Cricetulus griseus: one gene and its partner. The protein of the gene in region 2 interacts with the protein of the main gene of each other region in a pairwise test. Links are inferred from orthologs where the notes say so. Each region holds a gene or a part of one and is shown on either strand. Other genes may lie near its edges.

Region 1 (3,500 bases), on a different chromosome or scaffold from region 2:
AATACAGCTTTGTATTATTTCTGATTTTATTTATCTTGAGATGGTGTCTTGCTGTGTAATCTATACTGGCCTTAAGCTCTTCATCTTCCTGTCTCAGCTTCCTGAGTGCCAGGATCACACAGGCATACATACCATCATGTCAGGCTACTTGTGATGCTCAGTGCTGTTAGCCCCTATGTGTGTGTGTGCCCCTGTGTGTGTGTGTGTGTGTGTGTGTGTGTGTGTGTGTGTGTGTGTGTGTGTGCCTGCCCCTGTGTGTGTGTGTGCGCCCCTGTGTGTGTGTGTCTGTGTGCCCCTGTGTGTGTGTGTGCCCCTGTGTGTGCCCCTGTGTGTGTGTGTGTGCCCTATGTGTGTGTGTGTGCCCCCCTGTGGGTGTGCCCATGTGTGTGTGTGTGCCCCTGTGTGTGTGTGTGTGTACCCCTGTGTGTGTGTGTGTGTGTGTGTGTATGCCCCTGTGTGTGTGTGTGTGTGTGTGTGTGTGTGTGCTGCATATCTCCATGCTTGGCTCTGTGTAAGCACTGGGTACAGGCATATCTCCATGCTTGGCTCTGTCCAAGGGCTCACTGGGTGAAGGTGTAAGCACTGGGGACCCAAAATCGGGTCCTCATGCTTGTGCAGCCCTTGACCCACTGAACATGTCCGTGGTCCCTTATTTCCATCTTTTAGCAAAACTTCTCTGTCTAATGAGGCCGCACTCATGTCCTGTGTCCCAGCCCCTGCTTCCTTTACAAACTGTCTGCCATAGCTGTCAGGTCAGGAGGTTGGGGTGAGACTCTGAGATATGCCCAGCACAGACCAAGTTTTGCCTGCAGGGGAATGTGCTGACCACTGGGTAGACTAGCCACATACTTCTGTGGCCATGCCAGCAGACTGTGCACGGTCAGGCTCTGGGAGAATGCTCTGGGGTTCTGTAGAGAGCCGTAGGGGCTAACAGCACTGAGCACCAGGCTGCTGGAGTAGAGAACATATTTTAGAATGTTAAATCACTGTCCTTAGTGTCCTGCACCAAAGCATTCCTGGAGAGGTACCACATTGTCACTAAAACACACAGCTCAGACATGCTGTTGGTAGTAGCTGTCCTGGGCATTGCACATAATGGTTCTGTGTTTGTGTATTCCTTACAGTCCTACTGTCACAACCACTTTGAAAAACCTTGGAGCACTTTACCGACGGCAGGGGAAATTTGAAGCTGCAGAGACATTGGAAGAAGCTGCCATGAGGTCACGTAAACAGGTGTGCTTGACACTTCTGCAGACTCGTGTGTTGGAACATGATGACCTTTTATGTGGTTGTAATTGAAGGCTTGATTTTGGCTCAGGCTCTGTGAGGACACTTGTCACATGCATAGGACTATGGACTTGACTGCAGGAAAAAAGATCTGTCTGTCTGTCTATCTTATCTATCTACCTACCTACCTATTTTTTTTTTTTTTTTTATTTATTTGGGAGGCAAGGTTTTGCGTTGTAACCCTGATTGGTCATACATATACACACACAAATAAAAAAAAAATGAACTATAGAGCTGGAGAGATGGCTCAGGGGTTAAGAGCATTACCTCCTCTTCCAAAGGTCCTGAGTTCAATTCCCAGCAACCACATGGTGGCTCACAACCATCTGTAGTGAGATCTGGTGCCCTCTTCTGGCGTGAAGACATACATGCAGGCAGAACACTGTACATAATAAATAAATCTTAAACAAACAAACAAAAAAAATTAAATGTAAAAACATCTGGTTCTGGGCGTGGTAGTGCAAGCCTTCAATCCTAGGATTTCAGTGGCAGAAGCAGGAGGATCTCTGTGAGTTTATGGACAGCCTGGTATAAATAGTGAATTCCAGGCCAGTGAGGGCTACATAGAGAGACCCTGTCTCAAAGACAAAACAAAACAAAAAAACAGACCCCAAAAGAAAAGACAAAAAAAACAAAAGAACATGGATTTGCTGGGCATGGTGTGTCATATACCTGTAATCCCAGCACCTGGCAGTGAGTCTGAGTCCAGCCTTGTCCTACATAGTGAATCCCAGCACAGCCAGGGCTACGTAGAGAGACCCTGTCTCCAAGACAAACCAGAAGGAAAGCCTGGGTATCAATGTGGCCTTTTCATGCGCTTGTGTCCTGTGTTTTGATTGGATGCTCTCATCACCCTCTCATAGTGTTTTTTCCTTTAACTGTATTTTATGTGCATTGGTGTGAAGGTGTCAGATCCCCGGGACTGGAGTTACAGACAGTTATGAGTTGCCATGTGGGTGCTGGGAATTGAACCCGGGTCCTCTGGAAGAGCAACCAGGGATAGGACAGGTCCTGTCATAGAAGCATCCTGTCACACATCACAGGGAAAGATGGGAAGGTGCCAGGGTTACTTGTTATTATTTGAGACAGACTGGTCAGCCTTGAGCCTCTGGTCTTCCTGCCCACCCCTCCCAAGTGCCCAGTGTGCATTCTGGGCAAGCACTTAGCTGTGTTTCTAGTCCAGATGCTCTAGTGTGGCTATCGTTACCTGGAGCTCACTATTTGCTTACAGCACTTGTTTTGTTTTAAATGTAGGCCTAACATAACCAGGCTGGCCTTGAACTCTTCATCCTCCTCTCTGCCCTCCAAGTGCTGAAAGTACCGGGGTTCATTACACCAACTTGCCTACGTGGGGGACAGTGTGCAGTCCTGTGTCAAAGCTCAGGAGCTTTGGGGACCCGTAACTCACACCTCTCACTGTGACCATAGAAAGCCCAAAGCCCATCCCCAGGAACCACTGATCTGAGTTTGTTCTGGCAATTTAAGGATTGGTATCTTTGGGGCCACTGAGATAATGAGGGCTCACTGGGTGAAGGTGCTTGCTGTGCAGGCTTGACAGCCTGAGTTCTGTGCCCCATAAACTTACATGAAGGTGGAAGGAGAGAACCTACTGACTCGGTGATGCCCTCTGACCTCTCCCGCATGGCTCTGTGGCGGGCAACAGTAAATAATTAGAGGATAATAAAGTGCTCAGAGTGCAGGTAGAGCCGGCGTTGGTGCCGCACGCCTTTAATCCCAGCACTCGGGAGGCAGAGGCGGGCAGATCTCTGTGAGTTCAAGGCCAGCCTGGTCTCCAGAGTGAGTTCCAGGATGGGCTCCAAAGCTACACAGAGAAACCCTGTCTCGAGAAACAAAAACAAACAAACAAAAAGTAAAGGAATCTGACTCTTTGTCCCAGGTCTGAGAGGTCTTCCGAGATGTAAGTGCTAACAGGTCAAACCGCTCTCCCCTGCCTGGCTCACAGGGTCTTGACACTGTTCACAAACAGAGAGTGGCTGAAGTGCTGAATGACCCTGAGAACATGGAGAAGCGGAGGAGCCGGGAGAGTCTCCACTCGGACGTGGTCAAGTACGAGAGTGGCCCTGACGGCGGGGAGGAAGTGAGTATGAGCGTAGAGTGGAACGGGGTAAGTACAGCGCGCGGCTGACGCGCTCGGGCTGCCGCCCGCCTGCCCCCAGCAGCACTTGCTGGCTGTTCTGTCTCATGCTAGATTC
Region 2 (3,500 bases):
TTGAACTTTTATCATTTTACTTCAAGTCTTTCATATTCCTGGGGCTGGAGAGCTGGCTCAGCAGTTAAGAACACTGGCTGCTCTTCTAGAGGACTCAGGGTTGATTCCCAGCATTCACATGGCAGCTCAAAACCATTTCTAACTCCAGTTCCAGGGGATCTGATGCTCTCCTTTTCTGGCCTCTATGAAGACATGAGACACACAAATGGTGGTCTTCAGGCACACATATACGTAAATTATCCATCCACTTAAAAAAAGTTAAAACATGGCAGGACAGTGGTGGCACATGCCTTTAATCCCAGCACTTGGGAGACAGAGGTAGGTGGATCTTTGTGAGTTCCAGGACAGCCAAGGCTACATAGAAAAACCCTGTTTCAAACAAACAAACAAACAAAACCAATAAAAAAACCAACCCCAAAACAAAACAAAAAAACCCAACCCCCCCCCCAAATAAAACAAAGAACAAAAATCCTTTTACATTCTCAAAATGACTTGAGAAATTTTCACTATTCTTTCAATCTCCAGCAACATTTTCTGACAGCCTTTAGATTTTGGACACTGCATCTAAAGATTCTGAGCATCCTTCTAACCCTTACCTCCATGGCTAATAACTTTTTTGTAGGGTTCGATTGCCTTCATATCCACCCTGTGGTCCTGTTCTCCAATCCTGAACATGCGCCAGCGGCGTCCATCCTCCTTTTCTTCTGTGGCTGTGTATTCAGTAACTGAGTCTTTCCTAATGACTTCAGTAGTTTTGGGTTTGGGAAGATCATCTGTTAAAATAAAAGTCTTTTGAATCACAAACTGTTATTTACAAAATAAAAATCAAAAGTGTATGTTAACCACTTTACTATCTAGATTATTCCAAGTTTTTCTGTTTTCTTATGGGTGTTCTGCTATGCTCCCCAACCCAGCCTCACACTCATGGGCTCAGGTGATTCTGCCTCAGTCTCCCAGTATCTGGGAGAACAGGTGAACACCACCACATCCAACTATTTACAAAGAATTTTCAGTACACCAGCTGAAATTATCATCCACATAACAAGAAAAGGTTTGTTCTTACTTAAGTCCAATTTATGTCTCTAAAATCAGTTTACCAGAACTTTCTATTGTCCAATTCAACAAAGCACCAAGTTATAGTGCATCATTTACAACAGGCTTAGGGAAGATAGAGCCATCGAGGTCTTACTATGTACGCTGGCCTCATATGCCTTCTCAGATCCCATTCAGGACAACAGTGTCCATTAGAGTTACTAACACCTTACTTCAAGTAACCATCAGAGAGCCAATTGTTTTATAGCACCTACATTAATTATAAAACACTGTAATAAAAGATAGAAAGTGGTTAACTCCTCAGTGATCATTTTCCGTTTGATCAGTTTTATAAAGCAGATATGTACTTTTCTGAAGAACACATGCAAAAATTTACATAAATTAACACTAGCCAAAGCACCAATGATTACATACAATTTGTATTTGCAGATTGCAGTTTAGTTGATTGAAAATGAAGTAATGATTTTCAAAACTTTAGTATGATAGTCCTTACCAAAAGATGGGGGAGGGGAAACCTACTGCATGTTAGTTGTTTCCAAGACAAAGCTGTTAACGGAAAATATCCTTCCAGGCAATGACTACAGCAGCATTAAGGAGAGAAGAGACAAAACACACAGGCAGAAAACTATTTCAGTGTCTGGATAAAAGACTGCTTCTTACTGGGCTGCTTACTGAACCAGTAAAACACAGAAGAAAAAAAAAGCTTCAGAGTATCACTCATTACCTATAAAGTGTCTACTGCTTTAAGTACAGTTTTGATGCAAAATTCACTTTAAAGATGAAACAAAAGGTTATTAACATTTGTCTAGCTATTATAATCAACTACTGCTTAATTCTAGAAAGCACACAAAACAAAACACACAGCAATGCCTCTGAACACAAAGTAATTAGAATGATAACATCTGATGGGGGCTGAGCACATACTACTTCAAGGAAGCAGTTTATAAGTGCAGCAGTCCTCAGCAACTCTCCTGCCAATCCTTATGTATGTATTACTATTACAATTATTATTGACAGGATCTATGCAGTCCTGGCTGTCCCTGAACTCGCTATGTAAACCAGGCTGGCCTGGAACTCAGAGACCCTTCTGCCTCTGGAGTGCTGGGATTAAAGGGATGCACCACCACGCCCAGCCCCTTAGGTGTTTTTTAGTACAGTCCTTATATGTCTCTTTAGAGGACTTTTTTCCTGACAAGAATATAATGGAATATTAGGCAATACTTTTGAAGCAACTATGAAAAAACAAACTTTACAATATTGGGCAAGTAAGGAAAAACAATACTAAACTAAATGAAAGCTACCTGCATAAGCTATAGTCTTGAAAACTTCAAGTATTTTCAGAATCTTCTACTTTTAGTAACAAACTTAGGAACTGTAGAAAAAATAACATATTTCAAACAAAAACCTTCAATGGATTTTAGCAGGTTTCACATTTAAGATTTGGCCATATACTACTTTTCCTAAAGAGAACACTATGGTAAACATTGTGTAATATAAACATCCATTCACAAAGCTCATATAAAAGTAGTGAATTACCTTCCCACTCAAATTCATCACTGTTCTCTGATGGGGTGTCCAAGCCTTCCAGGTCAACCTCTCCACCTTCATCCAAATCATCCGACCACACAGAGTCTTCACTAGGATCCAGGGTCAGGCTGATGTCTGGAGCCATTAGTTTCTTACGCACTTTATTTCCATTAACTTCTAATGAGCCTGAAATTGGAAAACAAGGAAGAAGCCTGGATTGCTCAGATGCCCCCAGTTGAAAGAGAAACATTTTAGTCACTTCATTCTTGAGAAAGCATTTTCAAGAAAATCCCAAGGCATTAATTCGTAAAACTTGGTTATGACCACTGCTGCTGCTTTTTAAAAAAGATATATTTTCATTTTATGCGTATGGTTGTTTTGCCTGCATGTATGTCTGTGTACCACATATGTGTAGTGCCTGAGGAAGCCAGAAGAGTTCATCAGATCCCCCAAAACTGCAGTTATGGATGGCTGTGAGCTGCAATGTAGGTGTTGGGAATTGAACCCAGGTTCTATGCAGGAGCAGAAAGTGTTCTTAACTGCTAGGACATCTCTCTAGACCCATATTTTTATTTCTAAACATGTACATGTGCGTGTATGCGTGTATGTGCACACAAGTGCAGTGCTGGCAGAGTCCAGGAGAGGGCACTATACCCAAGGAACTAGTTATAAGCATTGTGAGATGTCTGAGGTGGACTTTGAGAATTGCACTCCCTCTTCTTAAAAAGAATTATTTACTATTGCTTCTTTGGCAAGAAATCAAGAATCTATCAATGTCCTTTTTTAAACAACAGAGGCAGATTTCATAGTCAGTTATTAATATGGTCTCTTTCACTCTTTATAAAATTTTCCAAAACTAAAGGTGTATTTTTTTATGAAGTTGAATTTCTTAAGGATTTTCCAAAAATCTGCCCTTTGGC

The links.
Region 1: the proteins of Bnip2 (region 2) and Klc1 interact in binary tests that used the Homo sapiens proteins (3 or more experiments, as listed by UniProt). The two-hybrid records come from large-scale screens. The link is inferred for Cricetulus griseus from reciprocal best matches to the Homo sapiens genes BNIP2 and KLC1.

The regions. Positions count from the first base shown.
Region 1 is NC_048598.1:182,250,817-182,254,316, reverse strand, and holds part of Klc1 (kinesin light chain 1), read left to right. Parts: intron 1-1,124; coding exon 1,125-1,233; intron 1,234-3,250; coding exon 3,251-3,412; intron 3,413-3,500. UniProt on the Homo sapiens protein: Kinesin is a microtubule-associated force-producing protein that may play a role in organelle transport. The light chain may function in coupling of cargo to the heavy chain or in the modulation of its ATPase activity.
Region 2 is NC_048597.1:181,531,375-181,534,874, reverse strand, and holds part of Bnip2 (BCL2/adenovirus E1B 19 kDa protein-interacting protein 2), read right to left. Parts: intron 2,767-3,500; coding exon 2,590-2,766; intron 774-2,589; coding exon 597-773; intron 1-596.